2 linked regions of the Tribolium castaneum genome follow. The protein of the gene in region 1 purifies or fractionates together with the protein of each later gene. This does not show direct contact. Links are inferred from orthologs where the notes say so. Each region holds a gene or a part of one and is shown on either strand. Other genes may lie near its edges.

Region 1 (15,644 bases):
TTCTGAACCATTCGGAAGTGCAAACTAAGTTGAGTTCGGAGCTGTGGTTGGAACAAGTGATTGCTAGGTGGCCCAAGTAAGTTCACAAAAATGAGAGTAAATAATTGGTGTTTTATTGGTAGTACACAAGGAAGGATAAAGTGTAAGTGTAATAAAGTCTGTATGGTTTGTGTTAATAGCGTCATTTATCGAGATAATAAATTTGACATAAGAATCGAAGGGGAAAGTTTTACTTTCACGACTATACAAAGAACAGAGATTGAAATAAGCTGTGAACACGTAAATACCATGCTGATTAATTACGACGATTACAGGATGACGTATGGCGATTAACAAAGTCTTACCCTTATCTTCCCCTATTAAACACGGCACTTTTATTTCTTACATTGCTACTATCGCTGTAATAATTAGCGGTATTGTACGACCGCTTCAAGTAATTGTTATTAATGTCGTAATTGTTTCTTCCAAAATTAGCGAAATCGTACGGATTCTTAGTGGTCTGTAGCCTCAACTGATAATAATTACCGACATACGGATTAGGGGTTGTTTGACTGTAATAAGATTCAGTGGTTTGGTAGGGATTTTTACTAGTGTACTGCCTAGCGAAATCGTTAAAATCGTAAGGAGACTTGGTGGTAGAAAACTGATAAAACTGTCTCGGAGTGGTGTAGGGGTTGTATGAGGGTGGGTTCGGGTTGTAGGGGGGTGTCGTGTAATCGTAATATTTCGGTGTTTCGGGTCTTTGATTAACTTCTTCGTCGTCCTCGTGAAACCTGTCGTAAGTGTAAATCATGTTAATTGTGTCACAAACAACCGGCGATAATCGGCAATGAAACAAACTTACAAAGGCCGACCCTGGTTGTTTCCGCTTCGGATGTAAGACGGTGTGTTCTGCGTATAATCGGGGATTATGTTCTCGTGCTCAGCCACGCATCGACCATTCAAACAATACTGAAACAGGATTTTTTAACGAACGAAAAACTTAAGCGGGACTTACTTGGCCGTCACCACAAGGTGAACCTTCAGCCGCGGGCCGGTAGGCCACGCAATAGCCGCTACTGGCGTCGAAACAGAAGAGTTGGGCGCAGACCCGGTCGTCTTTCTACAATTCAACACCTCAACCAAAGTTTTATCCCATTAGACTAACTTACAAAACATGCACTTGTTCCCCTGTCTCTACGACATTGGGCGTCGAGAGTGAGGAGTTTCCCTGGGAGGACTCTTGGCAAACTGTCGTCTTCGTGGGGCACGTTGTAGAGACAGGTGGCAGTGTCACCACTACACAACCATCAATCAATAGGAAAAATTTTGGTTAAATTGTGACTTACTTGAGGAAATGGTGGAAACTGGAGACACTGCAAGGGGACCACCGGAAGCCCCGCTCCGTGTGTCTCAAATCGGACATGATGTACCCGTCCGTCCATTGGCATTTTTCGGCCCCTGGGCCCCCGAGGTACGACGGTGGAGGGCTTCCGTCATGTACTGCTCCTAGTCTATAGTGGGGAAAAATTTAGTTGAGGATTTTTAGTTTGGGGTTTGAATCTTACAAATGTCCCACTTCGTGAGCCGCGACTATAATTCCGCTGAAGCCACCTGTGTCTTCAATGATGGCAACAGAATTGACCTTTTCTAGTCTTTTGTTGACCACGCATGCACCTCCGACGTACGCAAACCCTATTTAGAGTCACATTAGAACAAAGTTTTTTGGAAAAAATCCCATCACCAGAAGAGCCTGAAGCAGTTCTGTGCAGTCTCACAAAACTCGAACCACCATCAACAAACAATTAGTTTGGTTAAATGAATTAGTCAAGTTAGAGTTTGTGTGTCATGTAATGTGGATGGGGTTATAGAGCGGGCGTGGTAATCGAAACGGGGTGCCAAAACACTACATCGAGAAAATTCAACTCGGAATCTACAAGTGATCGTGCCTTTATCTGTTCGTACCTGCCGTGCCGCGATTGCAGACATCGTTGGGGTACGACCTTCTGCACATGTCTAGTCTGTAAAAAACACACCCGGTCATATATGGTTAAATGTGTGATTTGTGTGTTTTGTTGTTATTTACTCCTCAGCTCCAGAGCGACTATACCTAAAGAACAATTAACAAAAACACGGACGCCTAAACACCACAATCGTCACATTTTGCGTGTCAGACATTTAGTTAGAACGATTAGTCCGGATCTTGTTGGTGTATGCGATCCGGGTTAGTAGCAGCAATTTACACGCGATTTAATTTTTATTACCGGCAGTTCCTTTGGTGCAGCGGCCGCCTTTTCGACGTCGACACATATCGTACCTAAGTCAAAGTGGTTAAAATCTGACAAAAACAAACCAAAAATAAGTTCCCGCGTTATACTGACTTTGTAATCGCGACGGCGATGTCGTACACCGGGAGCCGCCGTTCCCTGAAGAGGTACTTCCCCATGTCCGTCAAAGCCGCCGCCGAGTCGATGGCGTCCCTCCCCACCCGGTTGCGTTCCAGATACGGAGTTGCATCCCGCCCCTAAAACAAATGTTATTTCAGGATCATGGACGAAATCCTCCAGTTTTTGTACGACCAGAACCGACCCTACACCATCAACAACATAATGGAAGGGTTCAACAAACAACTCAGTAAGAGTCAAGTTGTTTCAGCTGTTAACAAGCTAGTTGAGAAGAACAAAGTGATTGAGAAGAACTGTGGCAAACAAAAAATATACTGCGTGCCGCAAAAATCGTCACTGCCTTTGAAAGACTTGACGTCCAAAACGTTCGAAATGGAGCGCCAGTGTAGCAATCTTGCTGCAACCCTCAAAACCGTTCAGAACGAATTGGAGGAGAAGAGCGCCCGTTTGCGAGATTTGGAAGGAACGTTGAGCAAGGTTGAGCTATTGGAGAAGAAGAAGAAGCTGGAAGAAGAGGTTGAAGAAATGGAGTCGAAACTAGAAGGTGGTACTAGCGAGTCGCTCGATAAAGAGAAAATCGAGAGGGAATACCGGACCGTATTTAAAGAATACAATAAACGGAAGAGATGGTGCACGGACATGATCGAGGCCATTTTCGAAAATTACCCCAAATCGAAGAAAACTCTCCTCGAAGACATCGGGATCGAGACCGATGATGATGTTAATTTCAAAGTTAAGGTTTCAATAAAGTGAACTTACCCTACTTATTATAATCCCCGCTATTGATATCCTAATTTTTGGTCCTTTGAGGAGTTTGTATCTCATGTCTACGCCGTTCCAGAACGAGACGAAATACCGTTTGATTTGTAAATTGTCGCCCCCATGCAGCCTATACCCGTCGTAGTCTACTATGACTAAAATTTCGGGGTAGATGGTGTATGGGGCCTCCCTTTTCTTGCGCGAGGTGCTCCTTTTGTGTCTTTTGGCCAAATGGTCGGGCTCCATCAAGGCTAAATAGTGAATAAGTACCGCTCAATATGCAAATGCTTCTTACCGTAATCGCTCATTGTATCTTCATGATTTCCGTTCCTTTTGTACACTATGTGTCGATGCCCTTGGATCTTTTGCTTTTTTCTCTTGATAGGCAGCCCCGTGTCGATTGCAACTTCCGAGCTGAGCTCGCCGTCCGCGTCCAGGAACATTTCGTCATCGTCGTGCGTGGGCTTGTCTTTCGCGTCCAGCAGCCGCGGAGGGATGGGCCGTATGACCAAATCGGCCCCGATGCTACCCTCCTGCAATGCAAACAATCGGCTTGCGCAAAAGTGTCGAAAAGAGCATTTCCTAACGCGCGTTACCCAACTAATAACATAAATAAGCAATTATGGGTCAATTGATGTGAGGCCGTTCGTTGCAAACGCACATATTCTGGTCAAGGTGAAGACACTAAAATTCGCATTGTGTTCGAAGAAAAAATACATGTGCGAGACAATAACGCACCGGACCTTCACTTACTAGCCGTGACTTTTTTGAGCGCCGAAAGAGTTCAAGAGTGTTGAGGTAAGCGCGACCCTTCATGGGACACGGATGGTCAACAGCGACCTTGAACTTCTTCTCCGGCTTTGGGATGGGCGAGAGGTCAATGATGAGCAATAAAACCGACGGATAAATCGGTCAAGAGACATTTCGACGTGCGAGAAGAGGAACATGGTTGGCAAGGTTTTTCGATAGTTGTGCGAACATGTGGAAGCTGATAGCTGTAATTAGCGGGACGTGTGCGGCGTTATTTAAAATGATTGCACGCGGGTTGATTGATTGGAATTACGAAAGCGAGACTTGACAGGATTTGTAAAACACTTGGCTGTTAATTAGCCATTATTTCCCATTGTTTTGCTCGGTTCGCTTGGGAGTGACATACTCGTAAATTTAATTTTAATTTGTGATACACGAATAATTAAAACGCCATAAACTGCGAGTATAATAAGCGCATAACATAAATTACCCAATTATATTGTCTTATTTGAATGATATATTTTATCCACTTTCCAAATAAATTATAAGTACATTTAATTGGCGCCGTTAATGCTAATTCACAACTTGTAAAATTAGTGACCGGAAAAATATGCATTATTGGTTTATCATCGTCGTAAATTATATGTTTACACATTTACACATGTTGCCTTTTCGCGCTTTTAGAAACTCCAATAAAGGTGTTATTGTCAGTCCGTATGATTTTACTTCCTGGTAATTCTGATATTCTAATGTATCTATAAGATTTATTGATTGACAAGAAACACTGACTTTTTTCTATTGCACAGCATAGTAATATTAGTAGCCAAACGGGTTTTATTACTCCTTGGTATTTTTAAATTATGCAATATTATAAACTAAATTACATTGAGAATAAAAAGTATTGTCATAAATTATCACTGGTGCTAAAATTAATCCGTGTTGCGACACTGCTTGTTGCAGTTTTTATATTTTCTTTGTATACAATTTAAACAGTATTAAGAAAATTATCATCTTTAACGCTATTATTATTATAATCACTGAAATTTGCTTAGTCCTGCGGGTTAACTTTAATGTAATTATAATATCTAGATCGACATGATACTAAACACTGTAATTTTTTATATCTTTTAAAATCTAGGTGTAATTAGAGATTTAGTAATGCCATGTACTTGTACGGGAAGGTTAAAACAATAATGCTCACTTAAATTATTTCATAAGAATAATTTGTTTAATAAAATAATTTTTCTTCGATAACGTTTGGGAAAATACTTGAAAAACTCTATAGGTAGTTAGTTCAAACTATTGAACATTTACGAGTACTTTTTCTCACACTTAATCGCAATGGGCACTAGTTAAATTAGTTATTTTTATAAACAACTCGGTCAGCAAGTTGATAGAACTAGCATATTGTGTATTTTAACTGAGATTAAGTCGTGACTATAATCTTGGACATGTCAAAGACACAAAGCTAATAAAAGAAATTTTCTCTCTCCACAATGGACATACTCGTAATAAGCGAGTACTGTCCAAGTTACAAAAAATGCTCCTTCAAAAAAGTCCGGAAGACCATAACTCTATCTTTAATCGTTTAGGTTTCAATCGCTTTTAAGTTTTCTCCCGGCACCGTATTTGAGTTTTTTGAAAAAAATATGAGCGCTTATTTTAAAACTTTTAGGGCCGGTTTATAGAAAGCCTCATCAAACTTTAATTCGTTGTTAAAAGTTAATAACGCGAGTTGACCAATCAAATTGGCTCAATTTGGTCACGTGATCACGCATTTAATTGTGAATTAAATTAATGACGCTTCTATAAACCGGTCTTTAATATTTTTTTCGTGTGTTTTTCTCAGCTTATATTACGACTTATTGGCCCTGCAATTTTTCCAAAGAATTAGGGCCGGTTTATAGAAGCGTCATTGATTTAATCTGCAATTAAATGCGTGATTAACTGGTCACGTGACCATATTCGACCAATTTGAATTTTTTTAACAACGGATTAAATTTTAACAAAGCTTTTTCAAACCGGCCCTTAGTGAACTAGTTTAATGTGAAATAATTTGGGGGCCAACGCTGAAAGCGCCCTTATTTTTACTCGTTTTGTTTTCCCGTATTTAATCCTTTCTCACAATTAAATGTGCTTTTAGTTAAAGCGCTGTACGGTCCAACTTTACTGTAGTTGTTTAATTTATCGCTTACTTATTTTATCAATTAAAGAATCAATTAATTAGGAGCAAAAAATGCGAATACGCTGTGAAAAATGTACAAATATGTATGTTAGAAATGATTGCGTGATTGCCATTCTTGTCTTAGAAGTGTGCTAATTACTCTGTTACTTTATGACCCAACCAAATCCTTCAGAGTCGAGCAAAACTGTTTTAAGTTTTATTCTCGATTTTATTCTTTTTAGGAAAAGAAACTCAACAGATTTAAAAATCATTAGAACTACTGACTAATGATTACAATAGGTGTTGACTAACTTTTTGTCTCGATTTTTTTAGTTAACTGCCTTGGTGGTGTGTTAACAAGTTAATAGTTTTTGCAATATTTATTGAAAACCTCGTTGAAAAATTAGAAGTGGATCATGTTTCGACCATTTGATAGTTCAAAGGTTAAGTAAAAAAACGTGATCAGTTGGTCACCTTTAGCCGTATAGCTTTCCCATTAGCTCTGATCGGGCAACGAAATTTCTGTATCAAACTATTCACGTTAATTAACATTGACAGTTTGAAACCAGATACAGCGACCCGGAGACTCCTTAATTTTACATAAATTGACCTTTTTGTGTGATGATTTTACAAGATTTTATCTCTGACTAATTTACAGCACGACAGAGTGCAACTTTCAGTATTGATGGAGTAATTGGGGTCCTTTATACGATTCGAGATTTGATAAGTTCAAACGTCCAAAACCGCAGCTAATTGACGAAAACGTATTATTCGGCCCATCCACCGTGAGAACGTTTCTCCTTATGCAACTCCGGTCTCATCATGAAATGTCAATAAAGGATCTAATTCTCCGGTTGCACAGCTTTAGCCATTAGAAATTACCCGTACCGAATTGTCCCGATAAAAAACCCACCTTGTTGTTTTCACTTTCAGTGACATTATTTGTGCAACGCATTTCCTGTCCGCCGTTTATTACCTTGCTTTGACCAATAAATAGCTCTTGTTTTTCCGATTTTTTTCCTTGTTACAATTACTTCTGTTGTATTTTCGCCTTTCGATTGCCAGTATGGAAATTTCGGCCCAGTTTATCTTGACCGCAACGTTGGTAACGAGTTGGCCACTTGGAACCGATCTCGTTGTGCAATATCATGCTCGATTAATAATTTTAATTATCGCAATTTGCCGTTGCTGTTACTTGCTTTTACGTAAAACGACAGAAAGGCCAAGGTTCTGCATCAGACTTACCACAATCACGGTATCGTTGTGGTTCCTCAGCAAAATGGCAGCTTGGTTTTCCTCGTCTTGGTAGATATCGCCGATATCTTCGTCAGTCTGAAAACAGAAGAGATTTATTCATTCGGCAAGGCTTGACCGGCTTTGTTCGCTTTGTTTGAGTTATTTCCGATATCGGTGAAATGTAACCCAACTGGCGCATAAACTAGCGACAGGAATGCAGGAACGCAACTCAAACAAGTAGATTTATGTAAAATGCCCGCTCCGTAATGGTTTACTACACGGTGACGGGAAGGCATTCGTTTTTTCGAATTACCAAAATATTTGCAGCATGATTTTCCATCTTCTAGTATGTGCCAACAACTATATACTAAAGAATTATTTGTCTACAACCATTGAATAAACATGGCATTTGGCGACTTGGTACACGAAACTCTCGACGAAACTAAATATTTACATTTCGCCTGGCCGTAGAATAGTTATTTAGTTTTAGTTATTTTGCTGATTGAAAAAGCTCGAAGAAAATCAAAGAAATCAACTACAGAAAGCGTAGTTATGTTTCGTGCCATATTTGTCTATTTTATTTAAATGTTAGTTACATATGCACTATTTCCTGTGCATTTACTTTTACTTACAATTAATTAATTTCGGAATTAATCATTATCCAGAAGTAAAAATTTTTTTATTGATAATAGTGAAACTTAAGTTAAGAAACCTTCCTATAGTGTCACTGTGTGAATGAGAACCATCTGTGTACGTACAATATGTTCCTGAATAAATTTTAATTCATTTACAATGTTTGATAGCTTTATTACGTTTGATCATATATCTAAACTGTGAATTTTAGTTTCTAATAATGGAAGTTATTAATATTTCATAAGATATGATGCTATTTTTACGTGAACTACGTTTTTACATTTCAATGCTATTTTAAATAGAAGGTATGACTATTATAATAACTGTTGCTGTAATTACAAATGTACAATAAAGGAAAAATCAAAATGTTTAGTGTTATTTAATATTTGTGGTTGACATTTCCGATATATTATTACATCGATGACACGCACAAATAACTTTATGATAGAGGTATTATATAAACATTATTGAAGATATAATAGAACCATTCAGATTCTTTTGTTTTTTTTTCTTTCACACCTTTGGTAATGCAGATGGGAGTGGAAGCATAATGGGAGTAAAGTAACGAATTCAGAAATATTGATTAGGAGTGAGTTTTGTTTTGAACTACTAGTTTATTATTAGATTCAGTGAATCAGAATAAGTTAAAGGCAAGTGTTATTGGTTGTGAATTCAAGCTAAAGTTTTTTGACAACATATATTATGCTAACATGGACCACTGATGTACATAATAATCTAATAAATTTTTAATGTTACCATATTTTTGTAATATTTTACATTATTTAATTTTTGAATACTGGAAGGAAATTTATATTGTTATTATAACCCAAGGATTCTTCATTATTCGTTAGCTTTTACACTTTTCCAGAAAAACACTTCTTGTTTAAATGAAAGAACTTTATCTTGATACTAAGGGGTTTCAGCTACCTATACGACTTTGTCAAAAAAATAGTTTTATTTTCAGTTTATTAATAACACTTCCGAGGCTACGTATTTCAGAAATGAAGAGAAAAGTCAATTATACAAATAATTTTGCAATTTTTGTTTCTATTTAATTTCCAGTTACAGTTAAATACTGAGATCTATGAATTTTACTTAAAGGGAACAAATCAGAAATGTGATGAAACATCTTTCATTACTTTTGCAATGTTCACGATATTTTCATTTTGCCGAGTGAATTATGTTCACCTGCACAAGTCGTAAATTATGCATTAAATTGTGATTGATTATGTCTTATTTCAACTGGAATTTGTGCCACGAAAATGCTTTTTCTCGTATATTTTTAAGAGGTCAGAAATTATTACCATGTAAGTGCTAATCCGCAGTTTATGAAGGTTTCTAACCCCGTTAAAAATTAAAAGTACGAGCTGTTTGTTGTACGGAAAACATCACGGTGTTTTGACGAAGGTTGGTCGTAAACCTCAAAGATTTAATAGATAATGCTTATAAAAATGCAAAAGTTAGGATCAATGACACTACTTAAAACTTACAAGCGTACAGTCTCGGATAAAAATCAAATAAAAATATAAGGTCTGAGCATATAAATATTTAACTTTTCATATCTGTATCCTGTTGGTTAATTTAAATAATCAATACATTTACCGTCTTCTAATAGCTAGAGGAATCAGGATAGAACTTTATTTAATAAAACATTGTTATTGCAATCAGCAAAGCCAATAAGCAATAAATATTGGAGAGATTTTATAACGAAATAACATGTTCGTAAATAGAGAAAGTTCTTCGGCAAGGTTTGTGCCGCTATGAACCCAAATAATTTTCATAATCCTGTTATATTCGTAAAAATAGATTTTAGTGGCAAACGTAGGTTTTTCACAACAGGTAACAATTTTCACTCTGCTTTTACAAAGAAACTTAAAATAGGAATTAAAGAATAAAATAACAATCAAATTATCATACATTTATGCTTGAATAACTTGTTTAAACTGTTATTAAATGGGAGTAGTTAACTTTTTGGACAATTAACGTTGCTGGAATTATGAGAATAATCTAAGTGTCGAGCAAATTAAAGGCAATTTTAGCACAAATCATGCATAATTGATTTTCCGAGTTGCAACGTGACTATAATCTATTACCTAGATGAGGAGGATTGTATGAATTTCAAACGAATTTTTTAGCTTTTTTGAATACGTAAAGGAATTTTAATTGATTTTCATTGTTGGGACATGTACCTGTCTTTGACACGCTGACATAATTTTGTCGTATAAATTCAAGTCTGAAACTAGCTTGTTATACATTCCTAGCAATTTCGTAGCTTGTTTTTGGCTAAAATATTGTCATTTCTATTGAAAATGTCAAGATCATGGCTTTATCGCCTAGGTGTTGGCCACCTGTCTCGGATGTCTGATATTTCCAGAACCGAACGTATCTAAAGTGCACATCCTGTAGCATTGATACGTATTTCCACACGCCACTTTCAAAAAATCCAAACGAACCATTTGTTCGTTCTGTAATTCGCGCAACATGGCAATTTACGTAAACAAGAAACATAAGTTACATGTCTCGATTTTAAAGCCCGTACGCCCCCAAGCCACCTTTAACATCGTACTCATGGGGCCTGCTTGCGAAACTAGGTTTATTTTCGTCATTAATTAACCGTCAAAATTGCAGAACAATGGATTTCGTCGTGTGACTGTAATAAAATCCGTGACAAAGCTCGCATTGTGACGGTTTCAGAAATGGAGGGTGTCGGCAAGACTGAATCAATTGGCAATCGAAGGTCCGTCACACCTCCCAAACAATCAGCGATGATAAAAAACTGACGAATCCTTGACCGAGCCCTGAGCTATTTTCGTTTTCCTCTCGGTGAAGTTTGTCTGTTGCTATAACAGAATACCTACGAGAGTGAAAGCTGTTAGCTAACCTAATGGCGTTTGACCTAGTTGGGATTTGCTTATGGGATTTGCCAGCCTGACATTGGGACGGCTTGTACGAAAATTCCAACCGACATGACACTCAAAAATCTGTTAAAATCTCTGCTCGTCTTCGTTTCGGCGGAGGTGAGCTACATCGTCAGGGTCATTGTCGCCCGATTATAATTATAAGCCAATAAGGAAACTATTCCCCACAAGGCCCAAAAAATGCACTGATGATTCAATCCGTGGCGGTTTCAGTTGGCCAACAGACATCACGCTCGATTGCACATTATTTTTCGATCCGATTGAAAAATTCACTTCTCCACAATGCTTCAAGAGAAAAAAAGCACGACCTTAGCCACGGCATGAAATAATTGTCCTTCAAAATCGACGCTGATGTAAACAAAAATTTTTACCATAACCTTCTATAAAAAGACGTACTTCACAAGCGGTGGAAATTTTAGTACGAGGAAGCGAGATAAAAAGGAACTTTCTTATTGCACTTTTCGGTTATTCAACGATTTTGCGAAATTATTTTAAGTAATTTTATTAGCATACAGCTTTTTTATTGTTGAGTTGCAATGATTCGATAATGGGACGGTTATGGTGGTTCAGTCGCGATTTTTGATGGTTTCGATTGCAAATTGAACAGGTCTAAGGCTAAATTGCTTCGAATTGACTGACTGTTTCCTCATCGGCTTCTCAAATGATTCCCTTTCATCCTCACTTTTACATAATTATTTTCTTGCCCATTTTTCTTTCAATATACTGCGATACATTTTCTTTTTTTACTAAACAAATACAAATAATCACAGTAGTAAACTTGACAAACCGAAACATCTGTTTCAAATATCAGTAAAATCAGTGAAATTTGGAATTATTTTGACTTTTGCTTCTACAGCTTTTCATGACCTTTTCCTATCATAGTCCAGAATGTATCAGATTCATTTCAGAAAGTAGCGAATGTTTTTCAGATTAGTCAATCGTATTTTAGGAAATATTCAATTATACTTTCTGAACTTCATTTGATTTATCTGAAATACTATTGGCTATTCTGAAACTGTAATACAGTTGGAAAAGGTGTAGAAAGCTAGTCTTAAAAATTCTTTCGTAGCATTTGGCATTTATATTTATTTGAATTAGATAAACAACAATGGAAACATAGCTTGCAGCGTTTTTTTTTTGTATACAGACGTACTTACTGAGCATCCTGTTCTATGCAATTATATTGGGAAGATATCTTATTTTAGAGGAACAACAAAACTTTATTATTAATATTTTAATCGATGAATTTCATTCATTTTTTCGACCGAATTTAGTGATAATTAAAATATTTATACCTATGTTAATCAACTATTGCCATCATCAGATAAAAATTTTTGAAACATTAAATTCAGTCAAATTAGACAAAAATAAGGCGATCTGTGTAAAAAAATTCCTAGAGAGTTGAATTTTTTTTAAAAGCTTTCTTTACACTTGGCAGGAGGCTGTCTTTTTTGTTTTTTTGATTATATCTCGGAAACGATCACTCCTAGCAATTTTTATCTTCTTACCAAAATTAAAGTTGATAAATTTTTTTACAAAATGGTCCTAGTCTTATTGTTGTAGGACTAACCGTAGGTGAGCTACTAGCTTTTGAAATTTGGTGTCTACATGACACTGGATTATTAAACATTAGTATATCATAAGTATTTATATGGAAATAGTGTATGTAAAGCGTCCCCAACTAAACTAAGAAAGGGAAATAAGGAAGAAAAATACTTTCTTTTCTCGGGCTCTCTAGTTGAAGACCAAAATTCCGCATGTAAGGATAACCCAGAGATTTAATAGAATTTCTTTCCAGTCCTATAATTCGCTTATGGTTATTCCTACAAGAAAAATGCATAAGACGTTTTTGTAGGAAATTTTAACAGCTTTAATTTTGATAAGAAGAGTGATTCTTTCCGAGTTATAAGCGAAAAACTAAAAAAGACAGCTTAACCCCCTCCCCTTCTTCGAGCTTGCCACGCACCCTTGGGGACTTTCTATATTTGTCTACCCAAGTGTAAAAGAAACGTTTAAAAAAATTCAACTTTCTGGGATTTTTTTCCACAGAATGGTGGAATTTGAATGGGCTATTATTTAAAAGTGATTTTTGGAATTAAACCAAAACTAAATACAGCAATAGAATTAACATGTTATGTCTGTAACATTACCAAAAATTGTTATATAAAAGTTAAAAAGGATGGAATGTAACTCTTTGAAGGAAACAATAATTTGGCTTTTAATTTTTCAAATAATTTTTGCTTAACTATGTCACAGATACACCCTTAATACGTCTTTTTCGCCATATAGAAGAATATTCACTAGTAACTTAATAAATTTGTCAATAAAAAATTAATGAGTAATGGCTTATTATTTATTACAAAATAAAGAAAAGCGTTAACGATATAATAAATCTTGTACTTCCTATAGCATAACAAAATGTACCTAACTAATTTGTTACAGAGGGAATTAATAATATCTAATAATTAAATTATTATATCTTATTAGTGAAGAGTCATTGAGTGATTGTATAATGAAGCATTTTACTTAAAATATTTATAGTTTTACCAGCAATACATTAATGAGTTGTTTAAATAAAAAAATTATTGGAATTGAAACCGAAAGAGATTGCATTTTCGCGTAATTCTGAGTTAGTAAGAAGTCAACGTCTGAGACGCAAGAATTAATTTTTTTTTGCCATTAATTTTCTAGTTTTATTATTAAAAAAATTGTCTAGTGGCTGATCTTACAAAATGATTTAATTATTTCATTATATTGATTGCACGGCTACCATTTCTCGATAAACAATTAAGCTTGCTTATAAGAAACATTTAGATATTATGTTTATTAATAAAGAAATCACAAAACTGATAGGAAACGGAACAACCTTCGTCCGGTCTATTCACACTAAAATTCTTGTTTATTAACATGCAGACGTCTTTTGTTGTTTACTTACAATGAATCACAAAGTTTATATTGCAGTTAATATACTGTGGTGAAGCCAACCTTTTAGCTCGTAATCGACTTAGTCAAGTTATTAAGGCCACTGAAACCTTCTATGGTGAAAAATAAAAATTCTCTCTATAATAATTTTATGCGTCAAATATTTAAATTAAATTAGCCATTAGAATGTCTTAACGATCACTTCCCCCTTCATTTAATGACTTGTCATTATTTTACATCCGCAACAAACGATATTATTTTCGATGCACCTGAATTTCTCCCGGTTTCTAGTGCAAAGTTGACGAGATAATTGTTCAATTTTCTGCAGTCTGGCTGCATTTGAGTTGGTCCGTCTCACCCGGAAAATTATTCGTGTTTCGCGGAAAGGTCATGAAACCTATTCGAATAAAATAACAATTTTAACATTTCTTATTAAAACAACAATATCACGTGTTTCATCATCGCTTATGACTATTTATAAAAATTCGACACTAATCTATTGTTACTGAAGCTATTTTTAAGATTAAAATCGACAGAAATCACATTTATAAATATTTATTTTCGGTTTTTTCCCAACAAGGACATCTACTTTTTCGCTTAATTCAATAACCCGACAGACCCACCGGAGACAATGTCATAATAAGGCACTTTATTTACCCAAAAATGCGATTTTCTCACGAGATTACGTACGGAAACGGCGGCATTATTAGTCAAAGTGAAAGGCGCTTCAGTTTATCCGTTTAACACGACACTTTTAATTTCCGAAAGAGTCATCAACAAGAAGGTGCACACGTACCTCGGGCAGTTCAACATATTCGACCCCATGTTGGGCTGTGGCGTTCGGTTCCACCGTCCATATCTTCAATTTATTCTTCTTGTAAAGTCCACGGTTCGGGATTAGAGTTAGGTTCAAGTGTTTGCCGAAGACTTTCAGTTTCAGTTCGGTTTTCCTATCTTCGTATTTCGGCTTCTCGTCCGTATCTATCGAATTCTCGGTGTCTGATGGAATGTCCCGCGAGATGCTCCGTCTAACGTTATGGTGGATGTGAACCACTTCGTATTCTGGTACTGAAATTTAAATAGGAATCGTAACATATTGGCAGATTTGATTTTATTATTGACCAACTCAACAACCGCGAAATGACACAGCTACAGAATATGACTCTTCATTATACAGAAATGCACGGATCATTAAAATTATGGTAGAAAGTTGTGCTTTTCCCGCAAGTAGCGTAAAAAAATTACATAATGGATTAACGTTAAAAATCTCAAATTGCCAAATAAATATCGAAACTGAGCATCGAAACGGCTGTCTAGCCGATGTAGACATCGACAGCCAAGACCCAGATCGAGTGAGATGTGGTTTATTTGCAAAATACAAAACCAAAGTTGCATTGGATTTTAAATAAGGCTATAGTGAGGAAAGAAAATTAGTTGCAATTTTTCAAAGCAAATTGTGAACGATTGTAAAATTTTCTGTCTGTAGTTAAAAATCTCATGTCATTTAACAAAAATTTGCAACTTAAATATCGTAAAATGAACGAATGATGATTTTTATTCACAACTGTTTACAACTTCCGTTGTGTTTTGTTTTCTGATGTAAATAGCTGACTGAATGTCAGAGTGTTTCTCCTATAATTAGGTACAAAAATGCTCCAGGTCTATTGTGACGATACGTCACGTCGTATCACTCACCTAAGTCATGTCTATCTACGTGAAACGTGCTCTTGATTTCGTCCGCCGTCATAAACTTATGAATCTGGAACAAAACAAAAAACTGTATCAAAATCCGACCACAAAGTCACCGGAAATACTTTTCAACAATAGAAGCAGCTAATGCATCACATGTTACGTTACATGTTGAGTTTTATTAAATTT
Region 2 (15,550 bases), on another chromosome or scaffold:
GATGGCAAAAGGGCTCACGATCAGGTTTTCGGAGGTTTTGAGGATCTGGAAAAGGGGAAGTAGAGGAGTTGGGGGCTGGGGGACCTACGCTGTAGACATCGGCTGTGAATAGGTTGTTCCCCGAGACGAATTCTTGCAAAGCCACTTTGGAACGAAATGATTGACACGGTGTTGACAATTATTTTAAAGCTTCAAAATCTCAAGCGCGTTAACTAACTGAGCCAAAAACTTAGGGAAAATGTTCCCTTCAGTCCCATGGGTCGAAATCTAGCAAAAAAAGTCGGCGGTAATGGTCAAATTTAAATTTAGTGCCCCCCTATTGCCTGAATTATGCAACCAACATTACACATCAAGTTTTCTTGTTCCATTTATGAGAAAAACAAATCCAGCTAAACTGGCCAACTGGGGACAACAGTCTCAAGCCAATTTTTTTGCTTCTCCTACGTTATATTCCCTTGTAGCCTAGATCTAATTTTTGTTGAAAAAGTGAGCTGGGAATGCGAACAGAAACACTAAGCCCTTTAGTAGCAAAATTTATTGATTTAATACAAAATTTAAGTATCAGAGCATCACCATCAAAAAATATCACACAAGTGATGTAGCCGGTAGTTCCCCCATCATTCACTCTCGACCAAAAGCTCCTCAAACAGCCTTATCAAATTATTAATCCCTTCCAGATAGTTGTTATCAATCTGGTATTTCTCGGCCGGGAAGGCATGAGCAAAATCAATCATCTTCACCGTAGCCCAAAGCTCCGACTTCTGCTCGGTGCACAACTCGTCCAAAATATAAGTATAATCCTGTCTTTTACTCTGCATATCCTTATCGTAATCGTTTTGGAAGGAGTGGGTCCGTTTCAGCGTCCTGATCGATTTCTGCCACACATTATTACTCCTATTCTTCGCAACGTAATCGTCGAATTGCTTCAATTTAGTTGGAGAGGTAGGTGTTCGCAAAATGGGGCCTTCTTTGGTCAACTGACCGCTAAATCCAGTTGAAATCTTCTCGTTGTTGAGAACAGCGAGGCTTAAAGGCCGGTAAAGGCTAGTAGATCGTTGTAATTTTAGAATTGGTTTGGGGTCAGTTTTGCGCAACTCGCGGAGTCTCCGAGCGTCGTAAACAAGGAGAAGAGACGAGGAATAGAAGTGGTAAGTGCGCTGTTTGCGGGCCCACATTTGAATTCGCCATAAACTTGCCAAGAATTGGACTATTAGGCTGCGACAAGGCGGGGACGTCTCGGCGTTGAGGAAAGTCTTCAAAGCTGCGAAAAAACGATTTAAAATAACTTTTAACGAATTTTGAATTTTTGTAAAGTCAGGTTGGCAACACCAACGCGGTTTAAGGTAATTCCACAATCAACTAAAAAATGTAATAGGACAATACATTGTCTGCGTTGGTCGGAAAACACAATTCTGACCAGGAAACTTGTACTGTTTAAGGAAAATTGTAATATTGGGCAAAATAAGCTTTTTTCAATTTCGTCAGGTTGGCGGTACTATCCTACTTCAAATGCTTAACTGAGCGAGAATTTTAGTGTAATTTTTCTAAAAAAAGTGTAAAACCGTCGTCAAAGACGAGTTCAATGATCGTGAAGTGCCTACGTGGGGCCTATTTAATAAAATTGTAAAGTTTGAGAAATGAAATTGGATCGGTAAGCCCTAACCTCACTTTTATTTTAAACACTAAGGACGATTTGTGCATTATTTAACTAAAAAACACGAGTTTTTGTGTGTTCATAAGTCAGGAAATGTGATTTTCAGAATTTGTTCTCAACTGGATCCAAAAATATGAATTTCGTCGTCATTAAAGCATGGTTGGTAGAAAAATATTCCCTGACCGGTTGGTAGCAGTGTTACATTTGACAAAAGTGATGGCGTCGAAAAAATTTTTGAATTCCGAATTATTTTACCTAAGAACAAGCAAACAACAACGAAAACGTATGCTAGTGACAAGAAAAATGAAAATTGACGTGTTCTGGATGTGAAAACGGCACTTCCAAAGCGAAAATTCAATCAACCGGTCGGTAAGTCCTAACCTCACTTTTGACCTTACTAACCTAACGGAACGGTGTCTTTATTAAGAGTTTTTCCGTAATTCTTGTCAAACTTGGCCAACTGGTTGTTGTAAATTTGATAGACTTGAAAACCTGGGATGCAGAAGGCGAGGTCGCGCTTCGAGTCTTGATACTTTGCCTAAAATTTGAATTAATTTTTGCCGTTTTTCCAATGCCGGTTACCTCTTCATTGACGATTTTCTCATAAGTGGCTGTGGGGTCCCACGTCCTTCTCCCGATCTTGATGTCCATGACGCAGGGCTCTTTGTAATGTTTCGTCAGATCTTCAAGCACTATGCAGTCGATTTCCGTGCCCTTGATGGGCACTTTAACCGTCCCGAAGTACTTGGGGACAAAATCCTTCAACTCCCTTCTTGTCTCATCGCTGGCTTTGCTAACTTCTTCGTAAAACTCGACCTCGCGTTGGCCACACTTCGGCTTGGTGATGGGTTTAAGTACAGTGCCCTTGTGCTTAATCATACCTTTTTTGCAAATTTTGTAAATTTCAACATTTCGCATGTACACACTGGTTACCGTATTGTTTTCCCTTGATCATATGACCCGCCACTTGATTTTCGAACAATTGCATATCGGCAGGGATCTCTAGATACTCTTCATCTTCTTCCACTGGATCAACGAGCGAAAAGGCGGCACCTTTACAGCCCGCGTACAAGCTGTCTTGTTTATGAATTGGCATTGGTACGACTTCTGATTTTCCCATTTTTTCAAGCTTATCTGATCGGCTAAAACAACCATAAATGTGATAAATGCGATTATTAAGCCGGGGTTATTAATTTTTCGCAAATTGAAAGGAATTAAGCGATAAGTCGAGGCGGCTATGACCTGACGCAACTTTCGATTTCGAGGCGGCTGTGACCTATCAAATGTCACTTTTGTTTATTTTTTTCTCATCGTGTGGGTACAATCTAATGACAGATGCAACTTTCGATTTCTCACGGCCAACTGAGCCACATTGCAAAGGGTTCGAAACAATTACACGCGCGCCATGACTGCAAAATAATTTAATATTGGTTGGCCCTGAATTTAACAAAAGCTTGTAAGATGCATGGTAATTGTTTTATCATGGCCAAGTGGGGAACCAAATTCGTGGGTGCCAAATTTATGTCCCCTAATCCTTTTAGAATTGCAAACAAAAATTATTTTTATCGATTAAACACTCACTTAGCGCATAACATCATCATAAATTCGCTTGAGTGCCTCGCTTATCATAACAATCACTCGATTGTTATTTTAACGTTTCAGGATAAACGTTTTTCAATTGCATAATAAAATGCAATGTTTATTCAACAAGACATAGTTGACCCTTGAATAATCTCGTTAAGGTATTTTCATTATCGGGGCCGAGATAAATTAAATATTTTCCAACAATAAAACTCGTTGGCAAATGAAGGAAAATGTCACCTTGATGACTAAAGCCAAGTAATAAATTTTGCGCCTAAGAGAGTCGGCGAAATCTTCCAGTGACATAATTTGGGAGCCTTAAACTTGACTTGAATTAGATTTATTAGGGACAAAGTTTGCAACATGAATCCTTATCAGACGCTTTCTAATAACTTTCCCAGAACACCCGGTATAAAAATCGGCGAATTTAATAGGTCACTCTGATAATTGCAATTATTTGTAAAAAGTGCAATTGTCACGACCGTTAGGCGCTTGTTCGGAGGTCAACAGCCCCTTCGCGACCTTTCCCCCGAATAAAAAATATGAAAAAAAAATTATTTCACGAATATTTTTAGAATATGATTCACTTTTTCCCTGAACACAATTAGCGGGGTCTTTGACGCTATAAATATGTAATTTGATCCAACACAAGCTCAAAAAAATAATACAACATAAAATATAAAAAATGTGGCCAGTTCCAGGTGATAGTCCAGGGCACAAAAACCACTAACCTACTCAACTTCGAACCAAAATTTGCGTATTTTGTAACCAAATTTGCACAAAGAGCACTGCAAGATGTTCATTTTATTTAAAGAAAACCGTTTTGGGCGAATCTTGAACCGTCACAGTGAACAAAACCACGTCACTTTGATTTGTGCAAATTTGACACCTTGACGAGTTATTTATACGCGAAAAGGCGCATGCGCACTGTCGCCAACCATAGAAGTAAAAAATTGACTCCCTTTCTCCGGTGATGAAAAATGGAAATTTCGCCAGAAAATCCCACTCGATTTATGTTGGCAATTTGTACGAAACGGCTAATCTAGCCAACTGTTGTTGACACCACAAGTGTTTGTTTAATTTTTTCATTGCCAACGCATTGTGGCGCGAAATTTGAACTAGATTTTTAGGTCTGTTGTTGCCATGACGTGTTTATTAGGGGAATTACCGAGAACCGCCCTCAACTTACCGCCGAAATAAATTTCGCTCATCTCCTCAAACAGGATGTATCGATTGCATTGACTGCGATTTCACGGAAATGTTATCAACGTTCGCACCCACGTGTTAATTGTTTTTTCAACCGGAAATCGCGAAAGTTTATTTACTCGAAAAAATCGTGTACTCGCCGCTAATTCGCCCAATCTCTGTGCATGTATTTTTAAGTCGTCCTTCACTCCACTTTAAGAACACACATTAAAGATGTGTTTTTATAGCGACAATACGACGATAATAAAACGATGACTGACTTTTTGCGACTCGAGGAGACCTTTTCAATAAAATAAATCACTCGGTTTACGAAAATAGAACGGCATGAATGACATCCGATCGAACCTTCGCGGCTTTGCCAACAGTATTTTACACGAGGAAAAATCGACATCAGTAAACAAATCAATTAAAAAATTGTTTATTTGATTAAAATACATATAGATATTTATTTGGTGTATTTGTAGAAGCCTTCGCCGGTTTTCACGCCCAGTTTTTTCTCATCGATTAGTTTTTGTACGGATTCGTTCGGTTTGAAAAGGGGGTTATCAGGGAATTTCTTGTGCCAGCCTTGCATGATGGCGTGCGAGGTGTCATGTCCCACGTAGTCGGCCAGTTCGATGGGGCCCATGGGGTAGCCAGCCCCCAGCTTCATGGCGGTGTCGATATCGCGGGGCGAAGCATCACCTTCGAAAAAAATTCATACATATTTTTTGTGTTAACAGCCTTTCAAAATTTTGACTTGTAATTACTGTATACTGCCGTTAAAAAAAATAGTAAGGTAATGCCGTTTTCCTTATTTTTTTTATTTAGAGATGTTACTGTCTTGACTAGTATTTGCCTTCATAAAGTACTACTTACCGATATTGAGAAATTTCTAAAAATTATGTATGCAAATTTTTTTGAAAATGAAACTATACAAATTACAAATTTTTTAACTAACAATTAGAAAAACTTTATTTGCCACAACATTGATCACATATTAATTATTTATTTAAATGTAATTTAAAAATTTAGCTCGCTTACATAACAAACCTAAAATAAAATATTAATTCATAGTAAAATTTTAAAAATCGGGTTTTTATAAAAAGAAAATTAGAAACGAGATTAACGATTTTGTGTATTGAAATTTTCAAACATTTGTTTTTCCACAAAATTAAAAATCAAATTTTAGTATATGATTAACAGAATACTTAGTAATTTGACATTGGTTAATGCAACTTAAATAGCAACTTTATGAAACGAGCCTTAGCGAGTGTCGTACGAGTGTTTTAAATTAAATGCGAGTTACATACACTATTTTTTTACGATCCGACTGATTAAAATTAAAAGACTTGCATTTTTTTTCAAAATGATTAATTTATTTTTAAAGTCAGACTCAAGGCAATCTAATAGTTGCTGCCATGTTACATTCTCATTGGTCACAAGTTGTCCTCGTGGTCACTACTCTGCATTACCATTGGTTACAAGCCAGTATCATAATGATTTTCATTAAAGTACAGGTCACAAACATTTTTAATCAATCACTTCAGGAATGGGAGTAGAAAAAATATATAACATTATAAGATAGTATTGTTTTCAGCTAATTTTTTTTATATTGGTGAAGGTTAAGTTATTGAATCAAACTTTAACTGTCGTTATGTTAAAATATTTCAATAAAAGATTAGCAAAAAATGTTAGGTACAATGCAAATTTATATATTTTTTAAATAAAACACCCTATATTGTGCATTTTTGGATATATAGAGTGTGTCTAAAGTAACGCATAAAATTCATATTATTCTGATTTTTCAAAATAAGCAAAAAAATAATCGCCCCTTATAAAATTTTTTTTTTTTCTAAATTTTTTATTTATCACTTCAATTTTTTGCACTTACTATAAAGATAAAAGAGTAATATCTACTATAAAAAACAGTAACCAAAAATATCGATTCCCATTTAAAAAAATTAAAAATAGCGGCATTATTGAGAAACCAGTGATGTCACAAATGTTACCATGTAGCATTTACAAAAATAAGCTCGACCTGTTCGAGGATTTTTTTGAAAAATGACCTTCAACAAATACATAGTTCTTAATCATAATGTTGTTTCACCAGTAGATTTTGCTAAGTTTTTGAAAAAAACCTCAAAATCCAATAAGAAAAAAAACCGGGTTGACATAAATTTACTTGGAAAAAAAATCCTAAATTTCATCTTGACAGTCTGAAGTCTGAAGAATTTTTCGGTATTTTATAACTCGATTTATTTTCCATTCGTAGAGCCTTATTGGCAATAAAAATATTTTCAAAAATTCATTTCGTTTTGTGTAACTCAAGTCGTATCAGATTTATTGAACGCCTGTATTTGCCACAAGCTTGGCAACCTTAAAGCTCTCAGCTTCGCTTCGAGCTTCAATATTACATAATTATTACCTCTCTCCATCATCCTGATGGCTTCTGCTATATAGGGCACCAGAAGCCTGTTAACAATAAACCCGGGGGTGTCCTTGCAGGTGACGCAGGTCTTGCCCACGGCTTTGCCCCACGCCATAAAGGCCTCGTACGTCTCCTGCGACGTCTCCGGAGTCCTAACAACCTCCAAAAGCTTCATAACGGGCACGGGATTGAAAAAATGCAGCCCCCCGAACCTATCCTTCCTCTTCGTAACGGAGGCAATTTCGGTAATCGAGAGCGAGCTCGTATTTGACGCAAACATGGTTTTGGGGGGCGCGACCTCATCCAAATTTTTGAACAATTTGTGCTTAACATCCATGTTTTCAACAATCGCCTCCACGACCAAATCGCTGTCTTTCACAGCTTCGGCAATGTCGGTGCACCCCTTAATCCGGGCCTGCGATTCGCTCACGAATTTATTAGCGGCTTGCGGGTCATCCTTGTGGAGTTTTTTGGCGACTCGTACCAAGTTTTTCGCAATGCTGTCTTCGGCTTTTTTGATCAAGTCGGGGTTGACTTCCACGATGGTCACGTTGTGGCCGGTTTGCGCGGCCACCTAAGCAAGGGGGCGAATGTTAGGTTAGGTTCGGGTGGTTTGGGGTACACTTACTTGGGCGATGCCTGAGCCCATGAGGCCGCCCCCGATCACAGTTACGTTTTTTATAACTGCGTTCATGGGGCTTGAAGTTGAAAGGCTTCGCTTGATGAACAGGTTTAGGGCCATTTTTTCGCGTTCGGTTACGAGTAAAAAGTGGTGTGTAATGCGGATTTTGTTTGGTTTATTAACGATACAATAACTAGGTGAAAGTCCAAGTTTGTAACCTATGATCGACTCCCACCGCTACGTTTGTGTACTTTTTAATCATTTTATCGTTTATGGCGAGATTAGGGCTCAGAAGTGAAAATCATCGTGCCGATGGTTTAAAAATAATCCGCTTTCGATAACGAGTGCGACTTTTGTACCTGAATTTATTTAGGTATTATGTAATAAAAGTGCAACATCATTCAGTCAAGTGGTACACAGGAGGGTTCCAAAATGGGGCTATATAGCAATCCCTGTTATCAATTTATCCACTTTTTTCAAAGAAATACTTGAAAAAAAATATAATTTTGGGGAAATTTGTGATTATGCAATCAGCAATACACGTGTGAGAGGTTAGTTGCATTCTATAAGTTGTCAAATGTCATAAAAACACCAACTTTTGTAAGAAAAATAATTTATTTCTGATTTAAAAAAGTACACAATTCTCGATTATCAACAATGGTTAATGTAATGAAAGGCGTTTTGGTGACCTGGTAAGGCCCTAACAATTTTTTTGAGTTTTTGTTTGACATAACCTCAATCATGCCAGATAATCCAAATCTCCGGGAATCCCAAACTGCTTATTTAAAACCTTATCTTCCATCATAAACTTCCTTTTGCACCATGATTTGACCGCGAAGATATTATCAGTCCATCGATTTGCTGCTTCTTTTACCGGTTTTATCTCACTTTGCATTAATTTCAAATTTTGAGTATCTGTGTGAGATTTCGACAGAGATTCGAATTTTTCTTTCTGTTTTTCCAGTTTTTCAATTTCCTTCAAAATCTGGCTGTCGTCCCAATTCTCTTTCCCCACCTGCGCTTTTTCCATAGTTTCGTCAATTAATTTCAATTTTTTTGTTGACGATTCTAATTTCGTTTGAAGCTCGTTAAGTTTGCGTTTTTTCGCGTTAAGTAATTTGCTGTAATTAGGATAAAACGTGTTTTTGGCCCGTCTATACCGTTTTTCGGACACTCTCCCAGTTATCTCAGTGATCTCCGTTATTATAAGAGATACGAGGTCGGTTAAATTAGGGCAAAGTTGCGCATTTTTATGCTGAACAATTATTTGAAAAAAAAAATTGTAATTTTCGTTTTTATTTTTTCAAGTGAAAACCAAAAGAACTAGACGTAGGACTTTTTCGGGCACTTTTTACAAGGAATCTAAATTTGTCATCGGATTTTCCTAGGCTTGCTTGATGTCAGAGTTACAACACTTAACTTCGTTTTTTTTATGGGAAAAAAATAAAAACGAAAATCATTTTTTTAAATTTCTCTCAATAATTCAAAAACTAAAAATGGCACATAAAATTTTCTTTCAGAAATTGTTTTGCATACAAATGCACAACTTCTCAAAAAAACGGACACCCTGTATAATATTTACCTGGGAAAAGCCCAAAAGTAGACGGAACTCCCGATCTTATCCTTATCAACAGAACCATCATCCACCAAAGCTTGGACCACTTCTTTCACAGAATTCGCCGTAATTCCTTTCTCCTTTGGCGCAATTATTTCCAATTCATTCATTTGATAAAAATCCCCAGTCTCGTGAAACAATTGCAACATCCTAGCCTTTTTCTCCTCAAAACTTAGACCTTTTTTCTTGAACATTTTCCCCTAAAAAATGCGTTGTTTCAGTGACCAGGCCATGAAACAATTCCTTTTGTATTTAGATGAGACTACAAAACTAGGCCGAAAATTCATAATTCAGGACTTGGATGAAAACCACTTATTTATTTCAGCCGATATTTTAGAGACATTACAGGCAAAAATCGACGATCTGATGGACCAAATTAGCTTCCCAGTCGCCGAAAAAAGCAATTAATTTTTTGTAATTTGCAAAAGTGAGGTTATGTCATATTGATGTGTGGTCATTCGAATTATAAATAAAAAGCGCAGCATTTATATAATGACGTGTTTTGCTATAAATAATATCGTTGCGGGCCGGTTTTCGTCCATACTTACGCAATAAGGCACTAATTAACTGTTTTTTCAAATTGTCGGTACAAATAATACAGTTCCCTGTAAATTGGAAGTGGCTACAATTACGCTTCTTTGATAACCGACTATTCTACAGTTGTTACGCCATCACGAACATTTTTACACACAAATGATAAGAATAGAATTAAGCAATAGATAACGGAAACGTGTCACTAATTATAATTTTTCCCTGATTTAATAGCCGCCGTGACGTAACCACAGCCACATGTCAAACGTCACAATTGACTTCTTTGGTTATGTTCCGTTTGTCAAAGTTATAAAACGAAAAAACGCGTTTCTCGGCCACAAATCATCAAGTGTGTTAAGTTCCGTGTCAGTGCATTTACCCCCATCATGACGGTGCCCACCCCCAGCGAGAAACTCCTCACCAATGGCTCCACCACTCCCAAGCGCCAAAACGGCCAAAAATCGGGCCTCATGAAGCTATCAAGTTACGTGCTAGCCTTGCGTCCGTGGTCCCTCAGTGCCAGTCTCATGCCCACACTGTTGGGCTCCACCATAGCGTACAAATACCCCGGAGTTACCGATTTCAACTACGCCACCCTCCTGCTCACAATTTTCACCGTGGTGTCGGTGCACGGCGCCGGAAACGTCGTCAACACCTACTTCGACTACGTCAAGGGGATCGACAACCGGAAATCGGACGACCGGATCCTGGTGGACCACATTCTGACCAAAGACGAGGTGGTGTCTCTGGGGGCCCTTTTATACTTTGCCGGCTGTGTGGGGTTCATTCTCTTGGCGGCGTTGAGCCCCGCGAAGATGGAGCACTTGGCTTTGGTCTATTTCGGGGGGCTGTCGTCGAGCTTCCTCTACACGGGAGGTATAGGCTTCAAGTATATAGCCCTCGGGGATGTGCTTATTTTGATTTTGTTCGGCCCCATTTCGGTGCTTTTCGCCTTCATGTCGCAAACGGGGCGCGTCGAGTGGGCGACGATTTACTACGCCATCCCTCTGGCCCTTAATACTGAGGCGATTTTACATAGTAATAACACAAGGGACTCTGAGTCGGACAAAAAGGTGGGAATTGTGACTCTGGCGATTATTATCGGCCACACTGCCTCGCACGTCTTGTACGCGTTTTTGTTGTTCACCCCGTATATCATGTTCATGGTGGCCTCGTTGAAATACTCGAAATGGTTCATGTTGCCTCTAGTCACGCTTCCTAGCGCTTTTAAAATCGAAAAACAGTTCAGATCCAACGATATACACAGTGTGCCCAAAAAGACTGCCAAATTGAATTTGTTTTTCGGTGTTTTGTACGTGCTGGCCTGTAGTTTGGTTCCAGCGCTGCCGTACGTCACCAAAAGATAGATGTACGAGCTCTTATTAGTTGTATTTATTTCTATTAAGTTATTTTTTACTGTGTTGAGGAACTGCGTCAAAAGGGGGCGCTAGTGCGGGTTTGCGGCTTGGGGTCCAAGCCGCAATACCTTCTCATTTTCGTTTGTTACGTCGAGATTATTGTACTTATGACAATGAACAGTCACGATCATAAAGAATGTCATCCCTATAAACTGTTGGGTCGTAAACGTCAATAAACATGATTTCGGGTTTTTACTTTTGTAACATCAACGATATTCTAATCGTGTAAATTAATAAATGTAGTCTATTTACTCCAAGTATGATCAAAACTGTATTACGTAATGTGTTAGCTTTTTAAGTAGTACTTATTTACTTATTTTTAAACAAAAGTAGGTGTACTAAAGTTCAAAACCAACGTTAGTTACATTCTGTTCCAGTTGTTAGCCACTTTTAATTTAAAATTTTAAATAGTACCCTCTATTTTTTGAAACATTTTTGTTATAAATTTTTACTTATCTTTAAATAATCTTTTTTTTGTTAGAAATTTTGCCTTTAATTTAATGTTTCTAAAAGTCCTAGTCTTTTGTCAAGTATTTACCAATAAAATTCTAAAAAAAAGTGATTATACAAAAGGACGAAGTCGCTCACAGACAAACCGAAAATGGGGTCTTACTTAAAACGAATCATCCGTTTTTAACCGCAAGTTGTTAAAGAAACTCGGCTTCGCCTCGGCTGGAATTTTTCTTTATTCAAAACGGTTGCAAAAAATAATAACGATGTTTCTCCATTTATGGATTCTATCAATATGAACTTACTAATATTTGGTCCTTCGAGCCGGATAAAGCAGCCATGTTGGCCGTGGAAAAATTATTTCACAGAAAATGTGTACAAAGTTAAAGGTTTTGCAAAATTTACACTTTTAAGCTAGAAATTCATTTATTTGGCCAAATTAAAAAAAAAATTGGAAACCTCAAAATTTAAAGTAAACTTTACAGTTTTGAAGCAACAGATTTTTGACTGATTTGACTTTGCAAAGGTAAATTCGATATTTGCTGGCCAATTCTATATATTCGTAATAAAAAAAATTATTTTATTAATCGATTTACATGAAAACGAGTTGAATACAACATTTATTTTTCGAATTTGACTCAACAAGGCTTGAAATTGCTTTAAATCTGTTAGAATAGTCAGACATTTCGTATTGAAAAATGCCAAATAGTTAAATAACTATTATGTTTGCTTAGAAACAATTTTTTAAATTTTAAATGAAAAATTATTATTGGAATTAATTATAAATTCACTGTTTTAGTTTTCAAATATGAACATACTCCTATAGATTGACTTTGTCAATGCAAGGTAAATGGTAACTTACTTTGAATTAATTTAACGTTGGAATAAATTTTAACTTGTTTTCTGTACGCCGACTCTAATTACATGTATATTATACGATTTTAATATCATTGGGGCCTAAAATCTAATAGTCGAGAAAACACTCGATGATGTGAAATTTACATTTATGACCTAAAAGATCATTGCTGTGGTTCGTAGGGGTGACATTCTTTCTGGTCGTGACTGAACCTAATCAGGTGATTGGCTCTTTCAAGGCGGGGTTTAGTCCCTGATTGGCCAATTATAAATCATGTATTTTTATAGCTGATTAATTTATTGTTAATGTTGATGAGTTTTGTATGACGTTGTGTAAGAGATTTTATAGTAAATCATTATAATTTCCGTTTGTTTTTATTTTGTGTGTCTAGACTAATATTAAACGAAACGCTTGGTAGTGGTAGTAGGCGCCATTTGACGTTTGGGGGCGCTGCAATCGCATCTCTTCCAGTCACTGCTCAGACTACTTCAATTGACAATAACGGAAAAGTCTGCGTAAAAATATCAAATAATTTATTCGTAGTGTGTGGGTTGGCCACCTGGCGGCTTGTTCGGGGCTTATGACTTAATCAATTATTCAAAGCGCGTCAGGGACAGCCTTTAGCACAATTTTCGGTAGTGATAATAGCACAATCATAGCATTTAAAATTGTTGGTCTAGTGGGATTTACAGGTTTGTTCCTGCGGAAGTTTTAGTCCTGAACCGTTTTTTACTTACGAGCTGTTTTGTCGGACAAACCTCTAGTTACCGAGACAGTATTGCATGATAGGGCTTTTACGAAAACACATATCTGATTTTTGTATAAATTTTATTGACCCATTACATACAAACTAACCTACGTTTTCATATAAAAATTGTTTTGCTTTGTTTTCATTACAAATAAATTTGATTATTTCGGTGTCTACAAGCTTTAACCTAAAATTATCTAGAAAAAATATCGGGAAACAATCAAATTTGTTTGCACTAACAGTTAATTCGATTAGATGAAAAAAATGTACATCTCACTTTGCGTTTTGTATAATTATGTACAAAAATAATCCACCGGACTGGGGGAAAGTCAAGACAAACAATAAGTTGGCATTAATTACTGAACTAAAAAAGCAACAATTTGGCAGTATGAATTTGAGGAACAAATGCAAACGAAACGAGATTCTCAGCCTTCCTTCCTTCCGGTCGAAATAAACTCAGTTTTATCCAAAAATTATATTTATACCAAAAAATAATAAAATTAATTTGCCGAACGTGTCTTTTCTGATTTCCATATCCTAATGCGCTCCTTCAACTCATTCACTGCAACATCCAAATTTTTAATTCCCCTACGAAAAAGCAACTTGAAACTAACCTGGCTGCAGCATATCTTCAGTCAATGGTTGCCGATTAAACGGGTCCGTACTGCTATTCAACAAATGCCTCATAATGACGGACCTGTCCATCACCTGCCCACTGGGCAACAACACAGGATCAGTCATCAAAGTGTCCATTAAGGGATCCTTGAATTCGTCAGGGGCGTCGCTCATCCAGTCATCACTTTTCTGGTTATTTTGATACACGTGATACGCCTTATCGGCCAAGGCCTTAAACCGTTCGATCTCAACCGGAGTTTTGATTGACAGGCGCTCTAATCGCGCCGCTGCGTCGTCAAACAAATCTTTCCGGAAAGATCTCTGCAAAGAACAGCGTATTATTCCTAGAACCGTAAATTAAATCAATTATCATGTTACGGAGGACTAGCTTGATAGATTTTCTGTATGCAAAAAATAGTACGGCAGAGTAAAAATGAGGGCGCTTCGTTTTAAACTTATTGTTTAAATAAATGATGTTAAGCTTTGCATTCTTGAGAGACTGAGAAAAACTGGTGGCTAAAATTTTTATAAGAAACATGGGAAAAATTATTAAAGATTTAAAATTTGCGCCTCGTCCTGTTTTTTTTTAAGACGCTGTTTGGGAGATTAATAAAATGTTGTGGAAAAAGTTAAAAATTTTGGTTTAAAATCTCGTGAAAACTCCCATATTCCCTGGCATTTACGTGATATTTTTCGTAATATTCTTCCTTCTTCCCAATCGGGGTTTAGAAAAGGTTTCAGTACAAATGCTTCATTAACTAATATTTTAGATAACTATCAGATACACTGTTACTGGTTTAAACACTGCATTATCATTAATGGACTTTTGATAAAATAAATAATTCATTGCTTTGTGCCAAACTTAAGTTTATGGGTTTTTAGTAAAACTGTTTAAAATTCTGTTTATGGTTCAACTGAACAATTTATTATCATACTGTGGAAGACTTACTTCAGGGGTACCCCAAGGCTCCGTTTTAGGGCCCTTATTGTAAATTAAATGACGTTGATCTAAACATACATTTTGAAAATTCTAAATTAAAAATTGTCAAAAGTATAAAATTAATGGGCGTTGGTTTTGATCAAGAATTACGTTTCAAATGTCATGTCTCTCTTATGGTAAAAAATAGTTACGTGTGTTTGCGTCTACTAAACCCAAACCATAGTATAATTGATTTCAAATTAAGAAAAAAAACTCTGTGAAACACTTGTATTATCAATTATAAATTATTGTCTCACACTTTTTTACCCTTGTATTGGCTCTAATTACAAAACTTGCTTACTATTTAAACAGCGCATTATTCCTAGAACCGTAAATTAAATCAATTATCATGTTACGGAGGACTAAGTTGATAGATTTTCTGTATGCAAAAAATAGTACGGCAGAGTAAAAATGAGGGCGCTTCGTTTTAAACTTATTGTTTAAATAAATGGTGTTAAGCTTTGCATTCTTGAGAGACTGAGAAAAACTGGTGGCTAAAATTTTTATAAGAAACATGGGAAAAATTATTAAAGATTTAAAATTTGCGCCTCGTCCTGTTTTTTTAAGACGCTGTTTGGGAGAAATCTTTAAAGAATTAAATTTCTTTTAGAAAAGTCCGCGAGACCAAGAAAACGGCTTTTCTAAATAAGATTAATAAAATGTTGTGGAAAAAGTAAAAAATGTTGGTTTAAAATCTCGTGAAAACTCCCATATTCCTTGGCATTTACGTGATATTTTTCGTAATATTCTTCCTTCTTCCCAATCGGGGTTTAGAAAAGGTTTTAGTACAAATGCTTCATTAACTAATATTTTAGATAACTATCAGATACACTGTTACTGGTTTAAATACTGCATTGTCATTAGT

The links.
Region 2: the proteins of homologous-pairing protein 2 homolog (region 1) and meiotic nuclear division protein 1 homolog purify together in Homo sapiens (co-immunoprecipitation; 6 studies listed by BioGRID and IntAct, counting the BioPlex papers as one, with this or other methods). This does not show direct contact. The link is inferred for Tribolium castaneum from reciprocal best matches to the Homo sapiens genes PSMC3IP and MND1.

What each region holds. Positions count from the first base shown.
Region 1 is NC_087396.1:15,589,240-15,604,883, forward strand, and holds the end of homologous-pairing protein 2 homolog, read left to right. Parts: exon of another isoform or gene 1-142; intron 143-344; exon of another isoform or gene 345-346; coding exon of another isoform or gene 347-773; intron 774-844; coding exon of another isoform or gene 845-951; intron 952-997; coding exon of another isoform or gene 998-1,102; intron 1,103-1,151; coding exon of another isoform or gene 1,152-1,278; intron 1,279-1,328; coding exon of another isoform or gene 1,329-1,493; intron 1,494-1,547; coding exon of another isoform or gene 1,548-1,674; intron 1,675-1,705; exon of another isoform or gene 1,706-1,944; coding exon of another isoform or gene 1,945-2,000; exon of another isoform or gene 2,001-2,192; coding exon of another isoform or gene 2,193-2,203; intron 2,204-2,243; coding exon of another isoform or gene 2,244-2,296; intron 2,297-2,360; coding exon of another isoform or gene 2,361-2,503; intron 2,504-2,524; coding exon 2,525-3,137; 3' UTR 3,138-3,143; downstream 3,144-15,644. Other genes in the region: sona (A disintegrin and metalloproteinase with thrombospondin motifs like), read right to left, coding at 347-773, 845-951, 998-1,102, 1,152-1,278, 1,329-1,493, 1,548-1,674, 1,945-2,000, 2,361-2,503 and 5 more. UniProt on the Homo sapiens protein: Plays an important role in meiotic recombination. Stimulates DMC1-mediated strand exchange required for pairing homologous chromosomes during meiosis.
Region 2 is NC_087399.1:6,492,403-6,507,952, reverse strand, and holds meiotic nuclear division protein 1 homolog, read right to left. Parts: upstream 9,776-15,550; 5' UTR 9,637-9,775; intron 9,582-9,636; exon of another isoform or gene 9,497-9,581; coding exon of another isoform or gene 9,310-9,496; intron 9,289-9,309; 5' UTR 9,283-9,288; coding exon 9,056-9,282; intron 8,595-9,055; coding exon 8,213-8,594; 3' UTR 8,166-8,212; coding exon of another isoform or gene 8,131-8,165; 3' UTR 8,070-8,130; downstream 1-8,069. Other genes in the region: Ipk2 (inositol polyphosphate multikinase), read right to left, coding at 618-1,261, 2,057-2,192, 2,237-2,535, 2,588-2,774; hydroxyacyl-coenzyme A dehydrogenase, mitochondrial, read right to left, coding at 4,887-5,125, 6,849-7,425, 7,480-7,593; Tfb5 (general transcription factor IIH subunit 5), read left to right, coding at 8,131-8,165, 9,310-9,496; heix (ubiA prenyltransferase domain-containing protein 1 homolog), read left to right, coding at 10,006-10,986; Ube4B (ubiquitin conjugation factor E4 B), read right to left, coding at 13,592-13,653, 13,706-14,027. UniProt on the Homo sapiens protein: Required for proper homologous chromosome pairing and efficient cross-over and intragenic recombination during meiosis.